2 linked regions of the Daphnia pulex genome follow. The protein of the gene in region 1 purifies or fractionates together with the protein of each later gene. This does not show direct contact. Links are inferred from orthologs where the notes say so. Each region holds a gene or a part of one and is shown in the gene's direction. Other genes may lie near its edges. The genes, in order: transient receptor potential protein-like; 1-phosphatidylinositol 4,5-bisphosphate phosphodiesterase-like.

Region 1 (15,451 bases):
GAAAACAGACGGAAATGGCACATTTAAACATTCGTCTCGCAGTTCTCGCGGGTTCGACGAAATGTGCTCATGACGTTTTCATTAACAGCGTTGCATTTTCAGAAACTTTTTCTTAATTTTTTTATCTCCAACTTGTTACGAGTTAATTATTATTTTCTAAAGAAAAATAAGGAACAAGAAAAAAAAACTGCGACACTTTGTACGTATACAAACTAATTTAAAATTTAAATCTGCCATTGTTGCCATGAGAATGTAGGTGCCTTACAATGTTATCAATTTGCAAACCTCCATTTTTCTCACTGTTTTTTTTTAGGGATTTAAAAAATAAAAAGGAAACTGCATAACATTCTTTCGCAACTGAAAGACGCATGCTCAGCGTCCGGCAAACTTGGCCGCGGGAGCGTTACCCAAAAAAAAGAAATCGGTGCAAAGGAAGAAGAAGAACACGAGTTCGCTCTCAGAAGCACTTTCATTTTCTTTTTACTTCCGCCTCATATCTTTAGGATGTAATATTCCCCCTCCCCTTTTTTTTTATGCCCATCAGGCAGTTTTTTCCCTACACTCCCCCGAGTCTCTCTTGCAGCTAGCTATACACACACCTTCGACGGATCTAAGCTTTCATGACTCGTGACGCGTGTACAGTCCAAGGTAGAGATAACTGTCCAAACAGCAGCACACACGGAGTTCAGCCAAGCGACGAGGCTCGTAATGGATCACATGTACACTCTCTCTGTTGATCGCAAAAACAGCTTCTGAAAATCACCTAATAAACGAGTTTCAACACACGCCAGAGAGAAAGTACCGAGAAAGCCACGACGGACTGACGTCAACAACGAATAAAAAGAGATGGATAAATTCTTCTCCGCCACCACTGTGTGTTCCGGTCGTAATGGATTTTTTTGCTCGTCCAGATGAAAACATTCCGATCCATCTTGTTTTGCAAGCCCAAAGTGTCTAGGCTAAATTAATTCACTAAAGTATTTCATCGATTTTTCTCTTTTCTATCCGGTATTTATAATTCAACAGGTCACTGCTGCGGTGGCTAATTTTTACGTGCCAACGCTATCGATGCTCTACATTTACGGGCGAATATTCCGGACGATCCGCCAGAGGAGCCGCAACGATTTGGGTGAAGTGATGGTTTCGACGGCCAGAAGACGACAGAGTCACAATCAAGCGCCGGCCATCGTCTCGGACCACGGTGATTCAACTAGCCTCCAGGCCCTGGAAACGGACGACGAAGGACTGGAGGATCAACCCAATATGAAACGGCTGGAGCGTGGAATATCCACCATAGCCCGGAGCTGGAATCACGTAAGCGGCAAGTTCAATTGGTACAGCAGCAGCAGTCAGAAAAGTGGGCCGGGAGCGTTGCAACCAGCTGGGTCGACTCACTCGAGAAGGATCCGGGCAGATCGTTCGATATTGGATTTTTACGAGAGTCTAACGCTGATGGAACTGCACGGAAGCGACGGCGGAGTGGACGGAGCCCGGCAAAGCACAACTCATTACATCAATGTCCAAGTCAAAGTTGAATACGTCGACGACGTCGTCGATAGTCAATCAAACAACCATCGATTGGTGAGCGAAAAAGTTAGCCTCTGCAGACAACAGCAGCAGCAACTTCGCCGGCCATCGACAAAGTTGTTCGCCAATAATCCGGCAGCAGCTGCTGGATCAACGACTGCCTCTTCCGCCGCTCCATCGGTGCTGATTTCGCAGAAAGAAAGAAAAGCTGCTAGGCAACTGGGCGTCATTGTCTGCGCCTTCATGGTCTGCTGGCTGCCTTACTTCATAGTGTTCCTGGTCGTGGCCGTCTGCCCGGACTGCATCGGTGACACACTCTTCAAAATCACTCTGTGGCTGGGCTACATCAATTCCACTCTCAACCCGGTCCTCTATCCGCTTTGCAACGCCAATTTCCGCCGGGCTTTCGCTAAAATGTTGAACAAAACCTGCACATGCTGCCGCAATCCTTCCTTCCAGCGAACCAGTCAAACCTATCCGTTGTCCGGCCCGGCTATTCCGCTGAATCAGCAATCGCGTTTCTGAAGCTTCACCGATTTTGTCGATGTTAAAAAAGATGTTTATTTCCACTCTGTAAAAAAAAAGTAAGGAATAAGGATTTAAGAAATATGCGCAAGGAGGAGAACATTCTCAGGAGAAATGTCCGGTTCTACGTAGTACAAAAGCTTGGCCTCAAGTGGCCACGTAGACAGAAATGCCACTCGGCCACGGTCGATGATTTGTTTACACTGGCGGCCGATTTTTTCCCGCCGTTCAATATCCAGGCCCATGGCCGCATATCTACCGGGCAAGGCGCTAGTGACTTCGCCAGCCTCTTGACCAGCATCGCTGTGTTCTTTAGCACGACGTGAACCGCATACTGCCCAGCTGGTCATGGCCCTCATGATGGCGAAATCCGTCTGACTCAGACCCAATTCCTAGTTTTTTTAAATCAACATTTAAAAGAAAAAAAAATAATAATTTAGACTGGAAAAATGGGCAATCAGTTGGCACAGGAAAAGTCATGATTACCTGGAAGAAGGCTTTACCCACGTAAAGCCCCCAGGTGCATTGATGATGACAGCATAGGGCGATGCAAACACCTTGGACCAATCCGACGGGGTTATTAGCTCTATAGAGGCAATTCAACGCTAAATCTGTTTGAAAAGAAAGAATCATTTCTACAACAAAAAATATACAGTCATTTGAAGAAGAAAAAGTTGGCGTGTTTACCTGTCGCTGCTCCGCACAAGTGTTTACCAATGCCGACTAGGCGTCGAGTGTCGTTTCGGACGAGCGGAACTTGACCCAAGTCGACGTCAGCAATGTCCGCTCGAACTCGATGAATGGACGCGTGACTCTCACCGTCCACTTTGTAGCGGTTATCGTGCTTGTGCCTCGGCGAAGATTTGTCGATCATCAGCAATGCATCGGTATCGAGGTCGACGGCCTGGCCGACCGCGTAACTCAATTGCCCTAAACGTACAAAAAAAAAACTAAATTACAAACTAAATCGTGTCGTGTTCGTGCCCTGTTTGTAAATACTGTTTCGGGAAAGAAAAGATATTGAAATTAAAGCTGTATATACCTCTGCCTGAACCGAATTCGACGTAAGTGCTACGTGATTTTCCAGACGTCAAAACACCAACTCGAGCCATATTGTGTAAAATGGAAGAGGATTGAAAGACGTGACGCCAGCTCCCACGGCTCTCCGTCAGCGAAGCGAGTGTCGACTCTAGAACTGGGTGACGTCCAACGGAAATTGGCAGCTCTCCAACAAAATCTATGGGGACATGAATGAAGATGCTGTTAGGGATGGGTTTTCGTTGAGCTGGGGAAGGTAAAAAGAAAAGTTGAAACTCTCAACAAGTGACCGTTCCACACCCACCTGAGTGGATCTTGGAAACCCTGGAGATGATGGCCAGCAGTTCGTCATCAGTGAGGGTGCCAAGGTTGACTTTGATCTCTTCGTCATTGCTGTCAATCACATTTACATTTTCCTTGATGTATTCTGGCAGAGGTTGGGGTTTTGAATTGCACTTCTCCATGTGCTTTGCCAGTTGTGATACAAAACATGAACTGAAAATGTGACACATTATTGTTCAGTCAAGACGTAACTAACAGATTCAAGAATTCCACCAATTACTTGTAAATGTGTCCATTAATGTACAACAGACCATTTATCCATAAAAGAAAACAAAATTTAAATAATCATGTTTGTTATTACTGATTGGGGTCGTAGGGACAGGGCGTTCGTGCATATTTAGCAGCTGATGTAGGGCAGGCTTGATTGGAAGCTTCCAAAGAGGCATGTTCACCGCAGAACTTGCGCCCGGTCTTAACTGACATGCGGCAATATCTTTTCTTGGTCTGCAAGAAATAGGCGCACGTCACTTCAGTTTTATTACTGGTTGCCATTGAATTCACACCGGGAATGTCGAGAATGTCGAGCACTGCGTTAATTTGAAAAATGCGAACCACGTGAAACGTGTGCAGGTTACAACCGTACACCACAACAAAGCAGACGAACATATTGAGAAAAAAAAAAAGAACACACGGCGTTGATGTCAGATGACCAAAATTCTGCTCATTTCTTTCAAATTTGTTCTATCGAGAATCGATGATTCGTTTTTTCAAAACAATTCGTTAAAGGGCAATTTTTTAAAAGTTTCAATATAGATGCATGGGCAAGGACATTCGACGTTAAGTGCTCGTGCGTGACCTTCCTCAAACGAAACATGCGTACCCGGTAGCTAGTCATACCAACAAAAGAACGCAAAATGCGAAATTTGACATAATTTGCATTTTTCCTGTTGCTGCTATTAACATGTCCCAGAGATGTATAAATAGGAAAATGAACAGTCTATTCAACGAATTAATACTCCAATTGGTGCAATTCAATTTTTGTAATTTCGAAGGTGCATGCAATACCAACAGTGCGCAATCTAGTTATCAAGCCACTGCACAGTTCTTTGAAATATTATTTAAGACAACATGAATTTTTTCTTTACTATTCATGGACTACTGTCAGCATGATGTATATCAAATTCTATGATATAGCGGGCGAAAGTCGACCATCGCGACCGATATCATAGATTAGATTCATACGATTACGGTGAAGAAGCTGGTGAACATATATCTCCCCGGAAATGTGCAAGACAGTAGCCGTTACGTTGTATTGAATATAAAATTTCTGTGTTTACAGCAATCTGGTAAGCATATTGCATTAGCTAGTTAACGAGTGTGCACACGGCGATTATCAATGTTCACCTGGGAATATGAAAAAAACAATAACACTAATTGATGTACTGATGGTAAGCGGACATTGTTCATTTATCTAACGTCATCTATGCTATAAGTTAATAGCAGTAAAAGGAAAAAATGCAAATTATGTGCCAGTTGTCATATGCTAGTATGTTATTGGCTTTGTCAAGGATACCGAGGGCTTTTTGGTTCAGATTTGAAGCTGACATAATTTGGATTTTTCCTGTTGCTGCTAGTAACATGTACTAGACATGTATAAATAGAAAAATGAACAATGTCTACAACGGATTAATCCATCCATTTGTGCAATAAAGTTTTCATAGTTCCGTATTGCACATAGATAAACGCATTAGACACGCTAGTTGACAAGTCAATACAATTTTGACGGTATTAATATATAAGTAGGCAACAGATTGTTTTATTTCAACATGCATGAATATCATCAATTTTACACCCCCGAAAGACGGAAGTCCTACCAACAGTTGAGGCTGAGGTTGAATGAACTGGCTAGATAATCAATCTCGGGTGGTTGATACACTTGCCGATCTTCCTTAAAAGGATGGGTTATAATTGAATGATAGTCATAGTCCAAATTAATTAAATCTTAAACAATCTACTTAAAATATACAGGGAAAGTATTTTCAATGGCTAGGTAACAATTGGAACACTTAAACTATTAATGTGCATTTGATGAATTTCGAAATTCCCATAACACCCATTGTTGCACTATTGTCATGCGGACATTGTTCATTTATTTAAAGTCAAATTTCCGACATAATTAAGTAGCAGCAATAGGAAAAAAAAGCAAAATATGTCAGTATGGTTCTTCATGTAACTGGCCAAAAGCGCATCGATGTCATCCAGAAAAGAATAAAAAAGGCCATCGCATCGAGCCAAGAAATACAAAATAATGTAGGTCATGTTCATTATGTTTATTCGACTCCTTCCACACATTTAAATACATTTAAATATTAAATTGTCAGTGTAAACTGTCTCCCTTCCGGCCTTGGGAGAAACTGGACGATCCGTGCGTGAAACGTTCTGAATGTTTCGGTAAATTTATCACAAATATCAGCGACAAGAGAAATTTACATGGACGCATGTATGTAGAGGATGTAACTGTACAGCAAGTGAGTGGATATCCTGAAAATAGAAAGGCGAGCCGGGCGATGGATCGATATTAGGTCCCTTCTTTTTGTTGTGCGGAAGCAGCAGCCACAAAAGAGAGCGGCAAAATAGTTCATATGTATAGGCTATAGACGTGATCAGCGGCGATGCAGACTATTATTACTACTCCAGACTATATGTAGCTTCACGTTCCGTCACGGTTGGCGAACGTGAATTGATAGGCCGGCCCACAGTCCGCCTGTATACATGTAGGTTTCTCTGTGATGTGTCCATGCAGATACTCGAGTTACTCCACCCTTCCAAACCGCATACAAATTCCTCTCATCATTCTCAGCCGTATAACCATGTCGTGGATGAATCTACTCAAAAAGAATAAGCCTTGACATGGAGGAGCCATCTCCTATACTATATACATATACCCCACCGGGTGTAACTGATATAAAATCGATCACGAACGACATGAGAAGAAGGAAGTACATATAAAAGAAAAACAAAATAATAATAACAAAACAAAGCAGCAGCATTTTATAAGCGCATAACTGTGCCCCCCTTTTCCAGATTTCCCCGGGAAAAAAATACCAAAATGGACGAATACATCAATAATTTCGATCGTGATAAATCAAACGATGTACATATAGGAAGGACCAAAATATAGCCGGACAGCAGATTGAGAGGGGCCACTGTTTTTGAAGGGCAGCCGGGGAATATCTATACGTGTTCTGATAGAAGCCACCACCATAGAGTAATCCTTTTAAGTGAAACATCGGGACAAAGAAGAATGGCAAAATTCTAAAACTAACACACAGGAGAGTATGTTGTGTGTGTGTGTAGATAGAGCTGACGCCTAACAAGATTAGTTAGTCGAAAATAGCCGAATGATTCCACCGAAAAACGAGGAAGTATGTGGACGAGTTTTGCAGAGCCTTCAGTAGCCCGGCACGCCAGCTGGCCGCTCGGACAATCCAACGAGTCCGTCCGATCCTGGATGGTAGGCCATCATCATGTGTAAGTATCGCCTTTTATTACCTGTGAATGTTTTAATAATTTAGAAAGTTGAATCTATTCCGGTGCAGCGAAAAGAATGGAAGGAAAAAAGAAATCGGATTCTCGGGAGGGTCTCATCTCCCGAGACTCGCAGCAGAGCCTGGTATTAAAATGACATAACTTTAATTTTTAAAAATGACGAAACTGACCTTGTGACCATGCGACAGATAAGTATCAAAGAAGATCCGCAGTTTGTGATGGGCCCGCCCGTCGAGTCGATCCTGAAAAACGAAGAGAAACGATATTTGCTGCTGGTCGAGCGCGGTGATTTCAACGGAGTCCGCAGGTTGGTCCCAAAATTCCATTTCCTTGCAAAAATGGCCAATTCCGACCTCAAACTCAAGTGCTAGCTGCGAACCAACAAGAATCCGATTTCAACTCAATGTTTAGTCAGTCACACGCCCGACCGATTTGCCAGTTCCATATCCTTATTCACAGCTAAAGCCCCTCTCCCAAGGAGAAAACTTGTCCACCCTTCTCCCCTCCCACATATTTAAGCTCGAGGACTTCCGAGTAAGACTCAACAAGGAGCGCTTTTCCTAGTGTCTACATAAATACTACTGCAGGGACCCAAAAAAGAAAAGAAACCCAACTTTTTTCTTCCTTTTTTTCCCGCGTGCAAAGGCACGCGGAAAATCGAATCATCAGATCCAGCAGGAAACAGATTTCTTTCAATAGAGTTCCCTATTTTTTTTTCTCTCCTTTTGGAAAATCTCCTTCATGCACCAACTCCTTTTTCTCCGTCAACTTTTGAGCGGATGAAAAACAGCCATTCCTAGAATATCAGTATAAGAAACAGTCAAAACCCCCTGACGTCCAGTTTGTTATTTGCTCTTGTCGCTATTGACCTTAACACAAAAAAAAGGAGAAAAGGTATTGCATCTGCAGAACGTGACACTGAAAGCGCATTGTCCTATTTGTTCAAGACATGGCGAAGGTCATATATCCTATATCTTAAGGGATTAAGTGAATCCTACATCTGCATAGCACCGAATTTTGGTTAGAGGAGCCCTTTAAAATTGGAACAAATAATTTGACAAAATTCTACAGCTTGATAGAAGACTACAAGGATCGCCCAAACGATTTGAACCTGAACTGCACGGATCCGCTGGGTCGTACGTCGCTCGTTATCGCCATCGAAAACGAGAGCTACGAGCTGCTTGAAGTCCTGCTCGAAGGTGGCATTAAAGTGTCTGACGGGCTCCTGCACGCCATCAGCGAGGATTACGTCGAGGCCGTCGAGTTACTTCTTGAATGGGAAGAAAAAAACCACAAGGATGGCACTCCTTACGTACGTCTAGACATTTCTATAATCGCTGAAAGAGCAAAAAGGATTTCTCTTTTACTGTTTTTCTTCTTCTAGAGCTGGGAAACGCTGGACAGCGAAAATGCCACTTTTACGCCCGACATCACTCCACTCATTCTGGCGGCTCACCGGAACAACTACGAGATCCTGAAACTCCTGCTGGATCGTGGCGCTGCCTTACCTATGCCCCATGACGTCCGGTAATTACAAGAAAAAACCCATCAGGATCAATAATAATTAATGAATCGATTGTGATTGAACAGGTGCGGCTGCGATGAGTGCATTGCTTCCAGCAAGGCCGATTCTCTGCGTCATTCCCGCTCTAGGATCAATGCCTACCGCGCACTAGCTTCGCCATCTCTTATCGCCCTGTCCAGCAAGGATCCCGTCTTGACGGCTTTCGAGTTGAGCAACGAATTGAACCGCATGTCCATCATCGAATCCGAATTCACCGTCGACTACAAGGTACGGACCTAATTATAATTGACCAGAGTTAAATTAGAAGCAGATTAATAAATATTTCCATGATTTGACGAGGGCAGCAACTGGAAGAACAATGCCAAAAGTTTGCGACGTCTTTGCTAGACCATGTCCGAAGTTCCTACGAATTGGAGACGCTACTCAACTATTCTCACGACTCTGAAGAAGTTTGGGAGCCCGGCGACCGCCAGACTCTTGACCGACTCGAATTGGCCATCAAGTACACCCAAAAAGATGTGCGTATTATCAGGCTAATTATAATCGTCTAACAAATCATTTTCAAAACCCCAAACCTAACCTAACCCGTTCTAAAGTTTGTGGCTCACGCAAACGTGCAACAATTGCTGGGAGCTATTTGGTACCAAGGTTTGCCGGGATTCCGTCGCCGCTCGGCCATCGGCCAGATCGTCGAGACGATGAAAATCGCGGCCAAATTCCCCATTTACTCGATGCTCTACATGATTGCGCCAACGACGGAAAAGGGGAAATTCATCAAGAAACCTTTCGTCAAATTCATTTGTCATTCGGCCTCGTATCTCTTCTTTCTCTGTAATGCGCCATAAAATTTGACTACGACTGCAGCAATTATGAACTGATTCCCCATTATTTAGCTCTACTCGGACTGGCTTCTCAACGCGTTGAATACCTCCTCATTGAATGGTTTGGCACTGAATGGATGCAGGAAATCATGGAAGATTGGAAACGTCGCGAAAGGGGATCCATACCCGGACCTATAGAACTTTTCATCATGTTATACATATTCGGTTCGAATGACTCTGCGATTCTAACAATAAGCAACATCTGCAACTGAAAAATGTTCCTTCTTTGACAAACAGGGCACATCTGGGCGGAAGTTCATTCATTATGGTCCGACGGTCTAATGGAATACATCACGGATTTATGGAACTTGATTGATTTCACTTCAAACAGCTTCTTCCTGGCTTGGATATTTTTACGAGGTGTCGCCTGGTTCATCGTTCAGGTAAAAAGATGAAGTTGGAAAAAATCAAATAATTACAACTCGGAAAGAGAGAAAAAAAAATCAATTTCCTGTTTCGACTGACTGACTGACGTCTGAGCGAAGCCTCAAAAATAGTGTTCAAGATTACACACCGCACCGAGAGAGAGAGAATAAAGTTGTCGTGTACGTATGAGTAATCTAATTATCTGGGGATACTACGTAGAGGGAACAATGGGAAGGACTGAATCCTTGGTATCCGCGAGAGGAATGGAGTACGTTCGACCCCATGTTACTAAGCGAGGGAATGTTTGGCGCCGCAATGATTTTCAGGTGCCCAAAATTATTGAACCCCCCACAAAAAAGCAATTTTAATCCTATTCAACTTTACCATTATTTCCAGTTATCTGAAGACGGTCCACGTTTTCTCCATCTCTCCGCATCTGGGTCCGCTGCAAATCTCTCTCGGCCGAATTATTATCGACATCATCAAGTTCTTCTTCATCTACATGTTGGTCCTTGTCGCCTTCGGATGCGGTAACCAAAGAAACGGGAAATTAATTTCAAAGTAGTGAGCTAAAATTCCATTTGAAATATTACCCGGGGAATTGAATAGGTTTGAATCAACTGATGTGGTACTACGCCGATTTGACCAGGAAAAAATGTTTCTGCTTGCCTAACGGAGGTCCTGATTGGGAAAACGAACAAGAAGCTTGTTTCTTTTGGCGCCGATTTTCAAAGTAACTCACTTTTATAAAATCAAATTAAAACCATATTACCTTTAATGAGTTTCTGTTTCGACAGTTTGTTCGAGACGTCGCAATCCCTGTTTTGGGCCAGCTTCGGTCTTGTCGATTTGCAATCATTCGAACTTCAAGGCATCAAAGGTTTCACGCGCTTCTGGGGCTTGCTCATGTTCGGATCGTATTCCATGATCAACATTATCGTCCTCCTCAACATGTTGATTGCCATGATGTCCAACTCTTATGCCGCAATCGCCGTAAGACAAAATCTCCTAGAAAAACAAAATGTAAAATTTCAAATCAAACTTGAATTAAATAGTCGAGGAGTGATACCGAGTGGAAATTTGCTCGTTCCAAACTTTGGCTCAGCTATTTCGACGATGGCGCCACTGTTCCGCCGCCTTTCAACATCATGCCGACGCCGAAATCCATGTTTAACGTGTGCAAGAAAAAACAAACCGAAGCAACTAAGGTACCAAGAATCATAAGAAAATCTATCTGAAGTTGTACACTTTTTTACGTATTACCTGTACGTAGGAAAAGAATCAACACAAGGCCGAAATCAGACACATGGAGGTGATGCGACTTTTGGTTAGGCGCTATGGTAATGAATCCCCTTCAAAATCTGTAAAAATGAGAATGAAATGTTGAAATATTTATAGTTACGGCCGAGCAAAAGAAGAGCGAAGAAATGGGCGTTACCGAAGACGACGTCAATGAAATCAAACAAGACATTTCGTCCTTCCGTTTCGAGTTGCTCGACATCCTCCGCAATAACGGAATGAAGTGTGGCGACGCTGAGAAGGCCGGCAACGCGGGTACCTGCCATTTTGATTTAAAATTGTTTCATTATTATTTTCCCATTTCTTTACTCTAACGATATTATATTGATTGGATTACTCACGCAGCCGGAAAGAAGGGAAGACTTCGTGAGCGTCGTCTGAAGAAGGGCTTCCAGATTGGTATGGTGGAAGATTTGATCAGCTCCGTGATTGCGAACGCCTCGGCAGACAAGGGACCTGTGGATGTCTTTGGCAAAATTGCTAAAGTCATGGCATCTCGCAGTAGCTCCAAGATGAAGAAACGAAACGAATGGAACGCCATGGCGGCCAGCAGAGCGTCGATTAGGAGGAATCCTATCGGATCCAGAGCCCAAAGTAATCAAAGGTGGTCGCAACAGTCGCTCCGTCGTTCCATTATCGAATCAGAAAGGGAAAATCTCTTGTCCATGGATCCTGAACGTATCGCGGAATACAATCCTCGCCTTAAGGAGTACACACCCGCCACCCGAGTGGCCTACGCCAAGTTCAAGCGCAATACGCTGGGCGTCATTGATGAAAACAACCAAACAGGCAGCAAAGAGGACAGAAAGATGGAAAAGAAATTGAAAAAGAGTACCGTCTCCTTGAAGAAATTGGCATCCGATCCGGATATGAAGAACAAACTGATCGCTGCCGGAGTTGAGCAGTCATCGGAAACGAAACCAAACTCAAATTTGGATACCATCGTTCATCTGGAAGAGAACGAATCAGTTACTCCTGTACCACCCACTCCGACTCCAACTCCTAAACCACCCACTCCTGCGCCTAGTCCTGCACCTCCGACTCCAGCTCCTAAATCTCCGACGCCAGCTCCGACGCCAGTTCCAACTCCAGTTCCAACTCCAGTTCCGACTCCAGCGCCTACACCAGTGCCTGCATCAGTGCCTACTCCGACTCCTAAAGCAGCTACTTCAGCGCCAACTCCTTCACCTACACCCATACCCACAGTCTCGGGGACTGTGGCAGCAGCCCCACCATCTCCTGCCCCAACTCCTACACCAACCACGCTCCAACCAATCAGTGCTTCTTCACGCCCAGATGAGAGAGGGCGTTCACCTTCACCCTCACCACGACCTGCTGCGTCTCGTCCTTCCTCTCGTCCTACAACATTGAAAGAAGGATGGTTTTAAATGGATTAACATAAAGTCTAAATTTTTCTAGAGTAGATTTTGACACTTTTAACTTAAGAAATAAAACTTACTGGTTCTGATTCTTTTCGTTGCTATGCCTTGCCAGTTGGTTAATCCATCCTGTAGTTTTCTCCATAAACGACATGTTTATTGCCCGCAACACATTCTAAATATACACGCAATAGCAAGCTCCGAATTCCTTCTTTTTGGGGTTTTTTTTTTGTTTTACTTACACAAAGACGTTTACATGATTAGGGAGTCGTTCAACATTTAAGCAGAGAGATCTTAAAGTTGTCATACTGACAAATAAACCCTTTCGGAGGAAAAGTACAAGCGTAAGAAAGACCATTTATAACAGACAATTCTGGCCGATGATGAAGAATAAGAAACGACATCCAACAATGAGCAGTCAAAATTGTGCGCAATTTTCCTTGAGTTTCCATTTCCTGTTAATCGGGACGATGAATCTGAAGTCGAGGTACAAATTCGACCAATAGCACCTGTATCACAAACATGGCAAGTATTATACCAAAAAATAAAGAAGTGAAAACGTTTTCCATTTCTTACATATTCCACCATGGCTGAACTGTCACATCTTTGTTTAGATAGCCTCCAATGTAATCCCAACTTACTGTACAAGTGGCTATTTTCCCAGTCAAGAAGTTTCTCAAGTGCATGCCTTGTCTAATGAAAGAAAAGAAATTGTTAGCACAAGTGGAATGTCAATGAAACCTTTACGCTCATTACCCTTTTACTGAGGCAAACTACAGGCCAAAGTGAACAACCCAAAGTACAGCAACAACATATACACCCACAAAACAACCACTTAACATTCACTGGAAGAGTTTTTTTCAAGACAGAATTTATTCTCTGAAGTGTTTCGCTGAACTCTTCAGGAGCGACCTTGCCTGTCAGGGCAGATGGGAATTCTGTGTCAAAACGATTACTAAGTCCAAACCTGTATGAAAATAGGCAATAACAGATAATTAAATTTCAGGTAGTTTTTACTTTTTACTCATCTCGGACGACTTCTAAAATATGTCAGAGACAGATTTCACTTACACAGTAACATTCCCAGCACCTCGAATAGCAACCGGATCTCGAACAGGTTCTCTATGATGTGTGAGCAAATCGACCCATTCTCCATTGTCTGAATGAATTCCATGATAAACGTCTTCATGAAGAGTCGAAATCGCGTTCAGGTCTTCTGCATTGGCCATTATTGATATACATTCGACTCAAATACATTCAAACAAATCAGACTCGTAAATACACTCCACAGCAGTCGTTCATCCTGTTCTACTAAACAAGTAAACAGCTGATTTCAACTTTCATTCTTTACACCATAACCATATCCATAAACTATTATTTTGGAGGATGGGAGACATAAAAAAACATTTTATACAAGATCAATTTTTATAAAACATAACACAAATAATCTTATATTTAGTACACATTCATTTAAGTGTAATTTCTATCTATTTTACGAGTTATTTTGATTTTTAATTTAATTTAATACGGGAAAACAAAGAACTTGCACGCCATCTAGCAGCGGTCACATAAATCAGCTATTTCTTGGAAGTTTTCCTAGCAGACTACTCTTGTAACTTGGTACTTGGGGTTATTCGTGATTTGATTGATTACCTAACATCAAATCGTTTAATTCTAACGGAAAATGCCACACTTAAAAATCACGACCAATGTTTCAAAAAGTTCAATCCCAAGTAATTTTTTGAAAGAGACTTCTGCATTGATTGCTAAAATGCTGGGTAAACCTGAAAGTGTAAGTATAACATCAAAACATTACAAATTTGTTTAAAGACAGAGCAAGAAATTTTATTTTTTGATTTTAGTACTGTGTTGTGACAATTGTTCCCGACCAGATGATGATTTGGGGAGGAGAAGAGGGGCCATGTGCCATTGCCCATCTAATGAGTATTGGAAAACTTGGAGTCAATGAAAATAAAAGCTATTCAAAAATACTTGGTGAACATGTTGAGAAGCATTTAGGTGTTGCTCCCAATCACATGTACATTGAATTCCAAGATGTTAAAACTGCTGATCTTGGATATGATAAAACAACCTTCCATGATATTCTTGGTTGATAGTTTATTCACAGCTGTCATTGATATCTAATATAAGAAATAAAAAATTTACCCAAAAAAATTATGCATTCATTTGTTCTAGGATGTTTGTTTTTCTTTCAAGGTTGTTCTCCAAGAAAATGCGGTAGGTAGGCTATTAATCAAAGTAACAAAGCAAGCTTTTTTTCATAATTTGTCTGATGTGATGAGAAAGAAGTAGTGATTTTCGTTAACGATAACGGATAACGTAAAAAGTCCGTTAACGGCCCTTTTTTGGTGTTCGTTAACTTAACTGATAACGCTAACGTTTGGCATTTTTCAGACGTTATTTTCGACGTTATTTTTGTTTTTAACAGCGCTTCCAAATATGTAATTTTTGGATTTTTCCCGATTTTTCCTATGAAATTTTGATTTTTTGCGCGCTTCCAGCATTTTATTGTAGTAGGTTGACTATGAAAACGAATTTAGCCAGTGACAGTGAGCAGTAGTCTTCTTAGCTTCTCTAAGGTTTTTTTTTGCTTTCAAAACTTGGCAAACGAAACTGTATAAGCAGAGTAGGAATCTATAATGTCAGATTCAGACTCTGATGCTCCTGTTGACGGTGAAGAAGAGGAGGATTTAGAATGTGCTGGGCCTTTATTACCAGCGGGTGTACGAAAACGACGTCACGCAATTCACAACTATTTTACGTATAACAAGAAATCCAAGAAGAGCAAGTGTAAAACTGGGGATTGTGGAGTTGAATTATCTGGCAAGAATACAACCAATTTGATAAATCACTTAAAGAAACCTTCCCACAAAAAAGATTATGCTATATATTTGCAAGATGTAGCACTATCAGACAAGCAGCAAACATCAAGTAAGAAAGCGAAGAAACAAAATTGTTCGAACAATGTGAAACATAAACGAGTAACACTTAAATAAGAAGGACCGACGAACGACAACATCGCAATTTGCTAAGAGCAGACGAAAAATTTAATTGTCAAA
Region 2 (14,474 bases), on another chromosome or scaffold:
AAAAAACCTTGTGGGTCGATAATCGCTCAGTGCCACCTACCGCTTAACAGCCAAGTTGTACCGTAGTTTTTTCACGCGAAAGGAAAGGTGTTCAATCAATTAGCTTCGACGATATCTAATATTGCTCAAGGGGTGGGGGAGAGGGAATCAAATGAATAAGATACTGACACCTTCTTCTATGTATAATCGAACCGGAATCGAATTGGTTTTTCTCCAACAACGAACAGGCGTGGCTGGAAGGGTTGCGGCAGATCACCTCGAATGTCAAAGCCAACAACATATGTCCGATGACGTGCTTGAAGAAACAGTAAGTCTATCGCATTTAGAAAGAAGAGCACGGCATCAGAGCGCACAGCACGAAACGCTATAAAAACCGAAATTTTTAAGCAAATCCGAATGGCTCGCGACGTAAATTATACCAAAACAAACAAACTCGTTATTCAAAGACGACGCAGTGAAAACAACTCTATTGACGAATTAGTTGATTGTTATTACATATACAGTCTTGCCTGGATCTATACTACCACTTGAGAGACTTCACTTCGTTTTTATTAGCAAAGTTTTCGTGCACGAAAGATTATTCCGCCAATAGTATTTATAACCCGGAATGAAATGGCGGACATATTCTTTAGTTTTGAAGTAAATTAGTAGCGCATAGATTTGGTTTTTTTTTCTTTTCTCTTCCCTTTATTTTTATCGAAAAATGATCGAAAATCGCATCTCCACCTTGTTGTCCTTAACTCAATTCTAGACGTGGAAGGAAGGTCTGCGCACCATTACCAACAAGAACAAGATCATCAATGTCTGCCCTACAACCAACTTGATGAAACAGTGAGTTTGTCCTTCTACTGTGTGCCGTGTACTCACCCTGGGAACCGTCGATGAATTCGACCAAATTAAAATTCCCCAATGTATGAGTACACGGCACAAACCTCGGAGCATCACTGTTCATCTAGCATTTTTGGTTTCGTATATCTATGGAATGATTGCTGCTAGTTTGCATGTAGTATTTATATAGACTGGAGGCGAATGCTATTTTCAATGTTATTTCATGAGCACCATCACAATTTAGAAAATGATGAAATATCAAAAAAGCTTTGTGCTTTTGAATATTTTTCTGCTTAGATGCACGTTTCGCACCACTAAATTAGTACCTTATTTGCATTTTCTAATTCTCAAACTATTAAATTACAAATTCAACGTTTCTCATTGTGTTTGCCTGCGTGTTTGTCTGCTCCAGTTGGATGCGACTCGGCTTCCAGGTGGATGCAGCCGGTAAAGTGCCAGTCAAAGTCGTGGCCAGAACTTTCGCTTCGGGTAAAACGGAGAAACTCATCTACCAGGCCTTCGCCGAATTAGGACTTCCCAGTGAAAAGGTAAACAATGTTGCAATTGGCTCACAGAAGCCCGTGACTCCCTTTTCCCCATGTTTGCGTGTTTTGTCTGCTCACTATAATTCAATTTGCTCATAAAAATTCGATTTTTTCACACCAGGGCGATTCTATGGAAAAAGCTGATTTTACGTTCGAGAAGTTCGTCGCACTTTATCACAAAATTTGTCCCAGAAATGATATCGAAGAATTGTTTCAATCCATGTAAGTCTCCCGAAGACGAATAATTCTCAGCTAATCGTGATGTCTGTTGTTTGTAATTAATCCACTTGGATATGAAAACTTTGTGCAGCCATTCGGTTGAATTAACGTGATTTTCTCTTTTGTTTCATGCAGCACTAAAGGCAAGTCGGATGCGATTGGGATCATTCAATTTATCGATTTTCTGAACGACAAACAGCGCGATCCCCGCCTCAACGAGATCCTTTATCCTCTCTATAATGAGAAAAGAGCCACAGAAATTATTGAAGAGTATGAACAGGACAAAGATAATCGCCTTAGAAGTAATCTTCTAAAATTAGCTCTCTAAATGAATGTATGAGTAATTTTGATCCAATGAACAACAGGGCGCTTGAGCAAAGACGGTTTCATTCGTTATCTCATGTCTGACGACAATGCCCCAGTATGGCTCGATCGTCTTGACATCTACATGGAAATGGATCAACCATTGTCGCATTATTACATCAACTCTTCCCACAATACTTATCTCAGTGGACGACAGTTTGGCGGTAAATCCTCGGTGGAAATGTACCGACAAACCCTTTTGGCCGGTTGCAGGTAACAAAACTCGTCGGAATGAATAAATTTAAATCAACTTAACAATTGTCTGTTTAGATGTGTCGAGCTCGATTGTTGGGATGGCAAAGGCAGCGATGAAGAACCCATCATTACTCACGGCAAAGCCATGTGTACTGAGATTCTCTTCAAGGTCCGTGAGTCGCCTATATATAGATAATCCTATGCGAAGCCATGTCGCGAAAGCTGGAATTGAATTCTCATTTTGACAGGACGTTATTCTCGCCATCCGCGACTGCGCTTTTGTCACTTCGGATTGGCCGATCATTCTGTCGTTCGAGAACCATTGCTGTCGAGCCCAGCAGTATAAGCTGGCCAAATATTGCGATGAAATCCTTGGTGATCTCCTGCTAAAGGAACCGATTCCTGAATCTCCGGTAAACAAACGTAACGATGCGCCCTGTCGGTATCCCCATGTCGAGTTCCCTCACCCCGTTCGTCCTGCCTAGAACGAAAATAGACCAAACAGGGGCCCTGTTTGACGTCCCTCACAATGACTACCTTGGGATGACGTTCCACGAGCGCGATAAAAGAACCAACTCGTAAATATTTAGGTTACGATTCACCTCGAGACTTGAACCTTCCGTGTATTGTTTACGCTTGCTCTTGTTTTTGCTGGAAGATTGTTGTTTCGTCGCTTCTCGTGGATCGGCACGTCTGTTCTGGCAACTTTCGATCCGACTCCCAATGGAAAACCCTACTCCCCGACACCCGACAATTAGCCTGGCATAAGTTTTCATTGAACAGCATTTTTCATCTCGTGGTCTACTTTTAGTTGGAACCCGGAGTGCCTCTGCCAAGTCCGAGCCAGCTGAAGCGGAAGATTCTCATCAAGAACAAACGACTTAAGCCAGATGTTGAAAAGCAAGAGCTTGAACTCTTCCGTCAGGGTCAGTTCGTCATAACAGAGGACGAGGAGAAGGAAGACGCTTCGGCGCCAGCGGCTCCTATTCCTGAAGATAAAAAGGTATTTTCAGAGTTGTTCGTCAACACATTTCTTTTTCACAGAAAATTTTGAGGGGCCGCGAGCAAGACACAAGGACGTCAAACCATTAAGTCTGGGCTCTCTGCCTGATTAAATATAATTCCGTCTCTTTTCTAAAATAATGATGTTGGGGGGAGATCATCATCATCATGTCAAAGCGTTGATGAATGAAAACCCAACTATTTCTGGTCTGTTATTTACACCAAAACCAAAATAAGGAAACTGAAGCCGGCGCCAGCGAATCCCGCTCTCTCAGCTTTGAAGAGAAGATGTTCCAGGTGTACGAGTACAAAGGCGGAACCAATCACATTCATCCTTGGCTTTCTTCCATGGTCAATTATGCAGAGCCTGTCAAGTTCCAGGGATTCGATGTAGCCGAGGGTAATCAGCTTACAAAAACAGCGAAAAGATGCACAACAAAAAGCAACTTATCTCGATGTGTATCGGTGTTGTTTTGACAGCTAAATATGAGCCTTTACATAAATAGTGTGTAACTATATAGCTCAGATAGTTGAGAGGATTCAGCATGATGGTCTCAACATACAGCTAACGCGCATCGTTTAATTTTGATTTCATTGTGTTCGATGTTTTTTGGGGATTTTCTTTACTCGAATTGCATGACATTATCATACGATTGCATCCGAATAGGATCGGATCACTCTTTTCAGCTTCTTGTCAAAGTCGACTACTGTTTAGTTTGAATCGATAAGGATTCAGTTAGGTGGCAGCTTCTTTTTGTTTTGGATGGAAAAAGCTTTTTGATGTTATAACTCTTTCCGCGGGACGAATGGCCCTTGCTGCTTTGTCTAAATAGGAAGGGGATCCAGCAGCACCCGGGGCCCCCACAGAAGGAGATGTACCCTTGCATTCGGGCTCTACATCCGCTGTCCATCCATGGCTGTCTTCCATGATCAACTATGCTCAGCCTGTCCATTTCAAAGGATTTGCTGAGGCAGAACGTAAGATGATTGGAAAATCACACAACAAGTAGCAGCTCGATTTTCTGTCATCCAGTAGCTCAGTTCCTTTCGTTTGGGAATTGCAGGAGCAAAAAGCAAAACAATAAAATGTCGTACATTCTGCGATGAGTAGGTTTTTTATTTTTAGATCGTCGAATATAGTAAGTCGTGAGCCTGGAAGTTTGGATGAAGTATTTGCTTGTTTGGTATCATGTTTCTTCTCCCATGCCACTAGTTTTTTTTGTTAAAGAACTGCATCCCGAATGAATTATGCTTGGCCTGTTAGTGAATGATGATTGCCACAGATATAACCACTTTTCAAAATCCGTTTAGTTTCTCTTTTTGGTTGACATAGCAATAAGCGACAGCAACTTATGCATTACGTGACTTTTCTCATAATAAATCACGCAGAAAAAAATATTCACCACAACATGTCGTCGTTTGCGGAAACCACCGGTCTCAATTACCTGAAGACTACGGCCATTGAGTTCGTCAACTACAACAAGCGTCAAATGAGTCGTATTTATCCAAAGGGAACTCGAGCCGATTCCTCCAATTACATGCCCCAGGTAAACTATGCGTAATTGTTGATACCGAACGCATTTTAAAAATAATACTTACCATTGTTTTTCTAGGTGTTCTGGAATGCTGGATCCCAGATGGTGTCGCTTAACTTCCAGACACCTGATTTGCCGTTCCAGCTCAATCAGGGCAAGTTTGAGTACAACGGAAACTGCGGCTACCTCCTGAAACCCGATTTCATGCGTCGTCCCGACAGAACTTTCGACCCGTTTGCAGAATCGCCCGTGGATGGTGTCATTGCCGCCCAATGCGCTGTCCAGGTATAAGAATAATTATATAAATCTTTCCTGGGTTTATTACCTAAACTCCTTTTTTTCATGGCACCTGCTATAGGTTATCGCCGGTCAGTTTTTGTCCGATAAGAAAGTCGGTACTTATGTTGAAGTCGACATGTACGGTCTGCCAACCGATACCATCCGTAAAGAGTTTCGAACTCGCATGGTTCCCGCCAATGGTCTCAACCCCATTTACAACGAAGAACCTTTCCTCTTCCGAAAAGTATTTAATTCATAAATTTTAAAAAAGAATTGATGTCTAATATATATAATATATTCTTTATTTTCAAATGATCAGGTGGTTCTTCCAGATTTAGCTGTACTCCGTTTCGGAGTCTACGATGAAAACGGCAAACTTCTTGGTCAAAGAATCCTGCCGTTGGACGGTCTCCAAGGTGGATACCGTCACATCTCTCTAAGGACAGAAGCCAACTTTCCAATGGCTTTGCCCATGCTCTTTTGTAACATTGAGCTAAAGATCTACGTTCCGGATGGATTGGGAGGTATGTGTCGCCAAGTGCTCGTATATCACTCCCCTTTAGCATGAATAGGATACCATTGTGACATGTTTTCTAGGATTCATGGACGCACTTTCGGATCCTCGAGCATTTATGTCTGCCAATAAGGAACGAGACAATAAACTGAAGGAAATGGGAATTGAAGAATCAGAACAATCCAAGGCTGCTGTCACTGGCGGCAAACCAGCTCCAGCCGCCGAAGAAGAAGTCAAAAGAGGTGAATTTCTGATTTCGCGCAATCATTAAGCAACGCTTGTTTATTTAACCGAATCGAATCGCAGAGGAAATGAAGTTCGAACCTGTGACCCTCGAGTCTCTTCGCAGCGATAAAGCGTTTGCCAAGGCGACCAAGAAGCACCAAAAGGACCTTGATTCAATGAGGAAACGCCAACAAAAGGAGAAAGCCACCATCCAGAAGAACCAAGTGTCGGCCGTCGAGAGGATCGTTAAAGGGAAAAAGTATAACCGACCACAAAAAGGATCCCCGCGAAATTTTTGTTTTCATCATCAAAATTCATTCCGTTTTGATTTGCAGTAAAGACGAATTCATCAACGATCCGGCCCTTAAACAGCTGGTAGCGGAGCAAGCCAAAGAGTGGTCCGAATTGGTCGGGCGCCATTTGAAGGAGGAGTGGACCTTGTTGAAGGAACAACTGGAGGCTCAACAGGACATTCTCAAAACGGTTATGCAGGGGGCACAGGGAGCCCAACTGAAGCTGCTGGACGCCAAATTGGAGAAGTAAATCTTTATGCTCTTTATTAGATCTGAGGTGCCGGTTGATGATATCGTTGGCCATTTTATAGAGAGAACAAAGACCTGAAGTCACGTCAAGCGAAGATGGCCGTTGAAACAGCCAAAGAAGTGGCCGCCGACAAGACGCTGCGCAACAAAGCGGAAAAGGAGCGCCGTTTGCGTGAAAAAGCCCAAAATAATACCAAAAAGTTTATCGAGGAACGCAAAATTACCGCCATGAAACAGGGCAAAGAGAAGGAGAAGCTCGTGGCCATGCATGCAAAGCAACTGGAGGACTTGAACCGAGACATTCAACTGGTAACTTTTTACTTTTTCTTGATTTTCACTTTAAACGCCAAACACGCACAGGGTTACGCGTGTGTTCAAGGGCTTGATAGCGAAGCAAACCTTAAACTTTTCCAAACGCATTAGTTTGTTATTTACTTAATGCTCTGAGATTACAAAGTCTTCTCGTTGTACAGTTGAACAGTTTCGCTTTAACGACTCGAAGCACTTTGAGCTTTGCAATCTAGATGATCACCTGAGGGTTGTATTTTTATTACTAGTCTTTAAATGTCGTCGGGAGACACAGAGATATTGTTTTTCTTGTGCAGTTGTAACCGTTTCACTTCTTCTTTTTGTTTAATTTATACCTTTCTCACAGAATATTGAGATGTATAAGAACGCGGAAGTGGAGTACCAGCTGGCGAATCCATATGAATTCTTCGTTTGAGACCTGTGGCGTTCAACTCATTAAATTCTTCGTCATCACATTCCATCACATAATGTGAACCTGCTGTTGCTTAAACATGCGCTTCCATGCCCCCCGTACGTCGCCATACGTTTCATTTGAGTATATTTCTCTTTACATTAAAAACATAAAAGGATCCATTAAAGAAAACTCGTAGATGTTGCAATTCCTATTCCGCGATTGTTGGTACCTCTCATTGTTATTCAAATCCGTAACCTGTATTATTTCCAAATTTTATTTCATCTTTTCATTCTTTTCATACCTAGCCAAAAATCTTTTGGGTGTGCCAACAAACTATGCCTTATGATCGTTGGGACTACTATTGTTCTTTACTCGTTAGATGGCGCTGGATCGGCCTATGAGCCGATTTGTGAATCAATCCCAACTATACTATTTTTTTTTCTTTACTTTGTTTTCACATTTAATTTACAGTTCATTCCTTGAGCAAAATTTTAAATTGCTCTCTTGTCCTCCAGAACTTGTCCACTCCCACTCTCTCTTCTAGATATTGCATATATTCATAGTTGTGAATTTCTTTTATCCAAATACAACGCAATAAATAAAAAACCAAGCCAAGTGTCTGGTTTCTGTTTAGCAGCGACCCGCTACGAATTTCTTTTTCCAAAAAATAAAATAAAATTGCAAAAAAAAAAAAAGATGATATTATTATGACAGCATTCTAAAATATAAAATTGGCGAATGAAAATTCAATATTTTTTTAGTTATGCTGTATTTTACGACTTGCTTATATTAATATAATAAATCGCTTGATGGGTAGGTGAAAACAATGGTCACTAGTTAGCCTTCACCTGTTGTGGGGGAGGGGGAAACACCTTAACAAGCAAATAAGATGGCGGCCATACAAGATTCACTATAAACAATCTTCCGCAGCCTTTTTTTTCTTTCATTTCCTTTAGTTTCTTCGATGTTTAAGTTCTAAGTGCTCATTTGGTGGTGCTTTTGGATTCCTGTTTGGTGTTATCATTTTAAAGGTGAGTTTATGTGCATTTTTGCTGTGCTCTTTGAATGGTTAACAGGTGAAAGGGGTGGCTTGGTGTTTTCAACGGCCGAATGACATTTGGTTATCTTACCTCCTCCATAGGCCAAGTCTTTTGTTTTCATGTGTGAAATTTATTGATCCTCGGCATTAGTCGGTCGATAAAAACGTGGACTTGGTACGTGGCCAGTGCGTGCATGTGTTTTGTCATTACCTGAGTGTTACCATAGTGATGTTATAAGGATTTTCAGTAAATCAACATTTAGAAGGCTTCACAAATACCCCCCCCCCCCCATTTCGCCTGTCAAAACTGAATCTGTCTACAATCTTGTTAGGTGTACAAGCCCTTAATGACATTACCTTTGTGACCTTATGTGATTCATTTGAGGAAGTTAACTGCATTGCGTACAATAATGCTGTGCTTTTGAATTGAATAAGTAGATAGTGTTCAACTCTCGTCTGAGATGTTTCCCTACTAACTGGTTTTCGTTGAAGATGGAAAATGTTTCTCTCCCATGTGGTTCAAGTTTAGGGTTTAAATTTACACCTGTAATTGGGTTTTAACAGTTGGACGATCAAGTTATCAAAACATTTATTGTAATTGGGCATTTGAATCAGAACCATTCTGTGCCACGTAACATAACAATAGGCTTTGATTGGAACATAATGGAGTTATTTTGGGTTAACTAGCAACCTTAAAAACTAGGTTGGTAGTGTGTGTCTGTGTGTGTGTGTTGTGTTGTGTGTGTATGCGCGTCGTCTTCGTTTTTTTTACGGCCGCATTCCGGCACGAAACATAAACCAGACGCCTTTGGGAGGGAGGTATATACGCCGCACGTCATTCGGCTGTTGACGTCGTTCAACACGGTTCGTTTCGTCCTTCTCTCTCCTCGCGTTGGCTCCTACTTTTACCTTGTTGTTCGTGTTTGTTGTCGTAGCAGATACAAACATCAGAAGAGGAAACGAGACTCTCATTGGTACATGAAGCGTGATGCCGTTTAGTTCGTTCAATTTCTATGTCGGCAAAGATTGTGTGTAAAGTGCCGCTATTTCTCTTTGAAAGTGTTTCGACTAGTACTGTTTCAAAAGGAACTGATTGTATTGTTTGTTTTCTTGAATAGTTCTAGTTCTTCAATATTCAAAGTTGATTCGCCATGTTCAGCAAGAAGAAGAAGAAATTGGACATTTCGTTGCCTAAAAACTTTGAGCACAGGGTGCACACGGGCTTTGACAAACGGGAGAACCGCTACGTCGGACTACCGCCACAGTGGGCGGGCATCGTGAGCCCTACACCGTCGGCCAAGGGTGCCTTATCGTCCAGACCGACGCCTTTAATCGATCCGTCTGAAATCACCCCAACAGAAGTCCTGGATTTGAAGGTAAAAAATCTACCACAAGAGCTGCAAACCCCATAATAAACATCCATATATCCCTTATATGACCTTCCGACCACCGAATCACGACCGAAATCTCGGTAACGGTTTTCCTCAACAAAACCGCTTCCGACCAACTCCGACACGAAAGAAACTTGGGCTATTGCTTTCATCGTTGATTCAGTGGTCGTCGTCCCACCTTTTTCCCGTCTAACAAATTCCATGAAGCAGCTATGCACCCTTTGATTTCATTATTCCGTTTCAATAGAAGGATGTGTCGTTGCAGACGATCGTACGAGGAGAAGGCAAGAGCACCGGCAATGGCGGGGTTGGTAAAAACGACAATGGAAACAATGGAGGAGGACCAGGACTGCCTCGGACATCCAGTGTGGTCCGTTCAAACAGTCTACGCTCATCCAGCCCTCCCAAAGCCCGAAAAGATTACAAACCCATGCTACCAGTTCCAGAAATGGGCGAAGGATTAGGAGGTGAAACGTCACCTCTGCCTTCACCCAATAATGCCAACTATCCTTCTGGCCAGCCTGTCTACGGACCAGGCTATCTCGCATCGCAGCAACACCAACAGCAGCAGCAGCAGCAGCAGCAGTATCCCCAAGGATATTTCCCTCATCAACACCAAGCCGTTCCGAGAGACGTCAGAGACGGAATGGGACGTCCGATTCACCCACAAGGAATCCTGCGGGAAGCAAGTTACCCCATGCCCCAGCAGCAGATGCCACCACACCAACAACAACAACAACAGGGACCTCCAGCTCCCAACTATCCAGCTCCACCTCCTGTCCAACGGAATTCTCAGATGATGATGAAAGCCGTACCGATGCAACCACAACCAGGCCATCCAATGCATCCACAGGGCGGCATGCAGGCACAGCAGCACGGCATGCATCCGTCTCAAGGAATGCATCAGCCTGGCGGAGGACCAAGACCTCAAGGAAGCGCCATGCATCCTGGCAGCACAAGTCCGTCTCCTGGTTATCCGATACCGAATCAACATCCTGGCCATGGCGGAATGCCGGGCCACTTACAAGTCCAAACTGGCAACCACTACCCAGCTGGTCATCAGAATAATCACGGGCAGAACCAAGAGTATCGACCACCCCTACCGCCACCTTATCAACACGGCGGACCGCCTAACGGTCAAAACGTCAATGGACATCCAGGCCCTCAGCAACCCAACGCGCAGCCAATGAAACCTCCTCACTTGACTCTGCCGCCACAGCATTCAGCGCCTCACTCGAACTCGTCGGCGTCGTCCCAGTCGCACTCTCCGCTCCCCCGGAGTCCGACGACTCCTCAACCTCCCAACACTTATCGTCCACCAAGTCAACAGTTCCAACACATGACTTTGAACAACGGACATCAGCAGCAGCAACAACAACCTGCAACAGCTCATCCTCAGCAGCCGTCGAGATACCCACAGCAACCCCAATCCAATCCATCGGGTCCACCACCGGGTCCTCTTCCGCCGAAAATCAGTCCACAGCCGCCACGACCGCCATCCAGCAACGCGGTCAACAACAACAGCGGAGCCGACCAAAATCAGAACACGCTGAACAATAGCAAAAGTGTTGTGGTGGCTAAATCGACGGCTGCAGCTGCTGCGGCAGCCGCAGCGGCCGCCGCCGCCGCTCAAGAACAACAACAGCAACAACGATTGACTCACGAACAATTCCGCGCCGCTTTACAAATGGTCGTCAGTCCGGGTGATCCACGGATTAACCTGGACAGTTTCATTAAGATTGGCGAAGGTTCAACTGGCGTCGTTTGCATCGCCGTAGAGAAAAATACTGGCCGACAGGTGGCCGTCAAGAAGATGGATTTGAGGCGCCAGCAACGAAGGGAACTCCTCTTTAACGAAGTATAATAACTGCGTAGCTGTTTATTTTTGTGTCGTTATTTATCATTGAGATTCTCTTCGCATTCGTAGGTGGTCATTATGCGCGACTATCATCATCCGAATATCGTCGAGATGTACGACAGTTTCCTGGTGGGCGACGAGTTGTGGGTGGTGATGGAATATTTAGAGGGTGGCGCTCTGACGGATATAGTCACTCACGCTCGAATGGATGAAGAACAAATTGCCACTGTGTGTCTCCAGTGTTTGCAAGCGCTGGCTTTCCTCCATTCGCAGGGTGTCATCCACAGAGATATCAAATCAGATTCAATTCTTTTAGCAGCTGATGGAAGGGTAATTTATTGTTGATTTATTTCAATCTGTTTTTGTAAAAATTAATTTGTTTACGCCCATCTTAAACCTCAGGTTAAGTTGTCTGATTTTGGCTTCTGCGCTCAAGTGTCACAAGAGCTACCGAAAAGGAAGTCGCTAGTGGGGACGCCCTACTGGATGTCTCCGGAAGTGATATCCCGCCTACCTTACGGCCCTGAAGTAGATATTTGGAGTTTAGGTAAATAAAAGAAAATATATTTTCTTAAAAAACTAAGATTTGAAAGGCAATGCAACATTCCTTGACAGCCATTGTCTCTCTGTCACGACATCGACGTTTTGTTTTTTTTTCCCATTATTAATTCTTACAATAACAAAACAGGTATAATGGTGATTGAAATGGTGGACGGAGAACCGCCCTTCTTTAACGAACCCCCCTTGCAGGCTATGAGACGCATTCGGGATATGCCCCCACCCAAGCTGCGCAACGCTACCAAAGTAAGGCAACGGTCATTCAATCTCTCTAAAAGCTACCGCTGGCTGGTTTGGTCTGGCAGGCCGTCAATCTGTGTATTAATTTCGTTCGTTTATTTTTTTTGTTTGTTTGTTTATGATGAACGTCAGGTTTCCGCCCGTTTACAAGGCTTTCTGGATCGAATGTTGGTACGAGACCCCGCTCAAAGAGCCACCGCCTTCGAGCTGCTTCATCATCCGTTTTTGAGGCAAGCCGGACCTCCAGCTCTGCTCGTCCCGCTCATGCGATCTTTCCGACACTCGCCCACTTAGGTTTTGACAGCTTTTCCTACCGTCGTCATTCATGGCAGTCGACCGTGTGTGTTTAAAAGAAGAAAAAAAAGGGCGTGGTTGGCGATTGACCCACGTCGTCATATGTATTCCGTTGACGCCATGAATCGCTGCGATGGAAATCCCCAAGTATTTTTTTCCCCTCTATTTTCTCTGTATATTAAAAATCAAACAAAAGGTAACCAATGGCAGCTTTTCCAATGCCTCAGAAGCGGGCTGGAATTTTTGCGATTAGATAATAATGAACAAAAAGAAAACAAACAAAAACAAAACAATTAGAGAGAAAAAAAAGGACAGAATCTTTCGTTTTTCGCCATATTATTTGACAACTTTTTTTTCTTTTTAATTTGTTTTTGAGTTGACCAAAAAGAAAAGGGTGATTCCCCTTTTATAAAAATATTTCTCTCCTGTGTTATCAGTATCATATCAGCCTTAATTCTACCTATCCCTCCTTTCCGGATCATTCCGTCCAAATGTAGTGCCTCTTTCGTATCGTCGGATGTTTTGCGAACACTTTTTTAAAAAACCATTTCTTTTTCTCTGTCTGTCTGTTTCCATCTTTTCTTTTTTTTTTAACGTAAAAACAACAATAACAACAAAAAAAGGAAACTCTTTTTTGACGTTTAATAGCCCAAGATGTAATTTTCGTCTACCCACATTTATATCCCTCGTTTTCTGTCCGTCTTGATCATCATCATCATTTCCTCCTTTCGCACTTGTCTCGTTTGTTTCTCCTTGCGTGAGACTCGATGGCTTTCTCTTCGTTGTTGCTTGCTGCTCGCGTGGCGGCGGTCTCATCTCTTTTTTATTCGCGGTACAACACGTCCACGCCAATCCATTACCCTTGATGTCTAATAATGGTAACGAATATTCACAAGAGCCAAGAGGAGAGAGAGACGACCCACCACCATCATCATCATTTTTGTTTCGTGTATTTCCTGGACGCGCCAATATCAAACCTATACAAACAACAACCACATTCAACAACAATGAAAGAAGAAGAATACACGCATTTGAATATCATTTTCTCCTTTTTTTTTTAGTTGTCTGCGGCCTGGAGCTAAATTAAGATCAATGACTTCTCGATACTGGGTATATACGTATTTAATTCTGTTGTTGTTTTTTTGTTTAAGTAGCGCGCCGGAATTTGTTTCCACTTTAATGTGCAAAGGCCAGGAAGCGAGATGTAGAATGTTTCAAGTTTATAAATAGTTAAAGGTTGTTTCTCTGTGGCTCTCGAACGATGAAGAAGAGTGCATCTTTGATGTATTTATAGAGCTGTTGCCAGTTAGTGACGACTTCATCGCTCCAAAACACACACACACAAGGACTTATTTTCCCTGACGAAGAAATGTTGTTGGTTTTAAACAGAATGTACATAGACGTCAGGATGTAATTCACGTGGGCACATCCAGCTGGAATTCCGAGTGGCTCATCATGTACACAAGATTCTGGGCATCAATTAAAACAGATTGGACTACACACGCAGCTGCTGCGTGCTAACGTGATATTCGCTCTAGCTTGAAAATAAATTCCTTCAAGTATTCAATTTTTTCGTTTCCTCTAGACCCGATGGAAACCACAAGATGATGATGATTATACACACCCCTAGGGCTCTCTGTTTTCTCTATCGATTCGCGGTGGCTCGAGCCACGGCTCATTTACAACCAGCAGCATCTGTTGCTAGGAGAAGAAGAAAATGAGATCGTTTCGTGCAAGTGCCCAGGGATCCATCCGTCCATCCGCATCTTGATTGCGAGAAGAAGGAAATAGGGTTACGTGCTGGCTGCTGCTGCTGCTGGAGAGCAGCAAACGAGTTGAGAAGGCGACATCCGGTGACCAAACGCTGCGGCGCCAACTGAATGATGATCGATATCTCAGCCCATCAGAGCTGCAACGAGTGTCGACATGGCATTCACAGACCCACCGGATATGAAGTACTAACTACCAAAGTAGTCGGCTCAAACTCATTTGATAGGGCCACCATCCAGATTCCTTTTAGGTCCTCGGGACGGACAGCTGCATCACGCAGCCGCAATAATAATTTTTAATTGCTGCTGCCCTAGAAAAGATGGATGCACCATAAATCTTATCTCTCGCCTTTTATTTTGAAAAATAAAAATGGG

Evidence for each region.
Region 2: the proteins of transient receptor potential protein-like (region 1) and 1-phosphatidylinositol 4,5-bisphosphate phosphodiesterase-like purify together in Drosophila melanogaster (affinity purification with western blotting; 3 studies listed by BioGRID). This does not show direct contact. The link is inferred for Daphnia pulex from reciprocal best matches to the Drosophila melanogaster genes trp and norpA.

What each region holds. Positions count from the first base shown.
Region 1 is NC_060025.1:8,983,828-8,999,278, reverse strand, and holds transient receptor potential protein-like, read left to right. Parts: upstream 1-6,809; 5' UTR 6,810-6,899; coding exon 6,900-6,903; exon of another isoform or gene 6,904-6,924; intron 6,925-6,971; coding exon 6,972-7,045; intron 7,046-7,091; exon of another isoform or gene 7,092-7,109; coding exon 7,110-7,228; exon of another isoform or gene 7,229-7,992; coding exon 7,993-8,233; exon of another isoform or gene 8,234-8,305; coding exon 8,306-8,448; exon of another isoform or gene 8,449-8,511; coding exon 8,512-8,713; exon of another isoform or gene 8,714-8,721; intron 8,722-8,790; coding exon 8,791-8,964; intron 8,965-9,042; coding exon 9,043-9,277; intron 9,278-9,339; coding exon 9,340-9,492; intron 9,493-9,564; coding exon 9,565-9,710; intron 9,711-9,912; coding exon 9,913-10,019; intron 10,020-10,077; exon of another isoform or gene 10,078-10,089; coding exon 10,090-10,223; intron 10,224-10,286; exon of another isoform or gene 10,287-10,302; coding exon 10,303-10,426; intron 10,427-10,465; exon of another isoform or gene 10,466-10,490; coding exon 10,491-10,686; exon of another isoform or gene 10,687-10,701; intron 10,702-10,748; coding exon 10,749-10,901; intron 10,902-10,966; coding exon 10,967-11,033; and 6 more. Other genes in the region: 5-hydroxytryptamine receptor 1B-like, read left to right, coding at 1,027-2,052; tRNA:m(4)X modification enzyme TRM13 homolog, read right to left, coding at 2,127-2,444, 2,539-2,663, 2,740-2,982, 3,095-3,289, 3,395-3,585, 3,734-4,038; cysteine-rich hydrophobic domain-containing protein 2-like, read right to left, coding at 12,830-12,880, 12,948-13,064, 13,128-13,338, 13,443-13,600; macrophage migration inhibitory factor-like, read left to right, coding at 14,056-14,163, 14,234-14,485; uncharacterized protein LOC124202754, read left to right, coding at 15,032-15,323. UniProt on the Drosophila melanogaster protein: A light-sensitive calcium channel that is required for inositide-mediated Ca(2+) entry in the retina during phospholipase C (PLC)-mediated phototransduction.
Region 2 is NC_060017.1:2,923,165-2,937,638, reverse strand, and holds the end of 1-phosphatidylinositol 4,5-bisphosphate phosphodiesterase-like, read left to right. Parts: intron 1-227; coding exon 228-307; intron 308-751; coding exon of another isoform or gene 752-831; intron 832-1,240; coding exon 1,241-1,376; intron 1,377-1,494; coding exon 1,495-1,595; intron 1,596-1,727; coding exon 1,728-1,894; intron 1,895-1,957; coding exon 1,958-2,168; intron 2,169-2,225; coding exon 2,226-2,319; intron 2,320-2,398; coding exon 2,399-2,563; intron 2,564-2,961; coding exon 2,962-3,153; intron 3,154-3,389; coding exon 3,390-3,552; intron 3,553-3,985; coding exon of another isoform or gene 3,986-4,130; intron 4,131-4,541; coding exon 4,542-4,699; intron 4,700-4,765; coding exon 4,766-4,972; intron 4,973-5,045; coding exon 5,046-5,210; intron 5,211-5,285; coding exon 5,286-5,490; intron 5,491-5,563; coding exon 5,564-5,722; intron 5,723-5,786; coding exon 5,787-5,964; intron 5,965-6,040; coding exon 6,041-6,244; intron 6,245-6,309; coding exon 6,310-6,556; intron 6,557-6,902; coding exon 6,903-6,971; and 2 more. Other genes in the region: serine/threonine-protein kinase PAK 5-like, read left to right, coding at 9,141-9,365, 9,628-11,238, 11,308-11,568, 11,641-11,785, 11,927-12,042, 12,169-12,330. UniProt on the Drosophila melanogaster protein: The production of the second messenger molecules diacylglycerol (DAG) and inositol 1,4,5-trisphosphate (IP3) is mediated by activated phosphatidylinositol-specific phospholipase C enzymes. Essential component of the phototransduction pathway.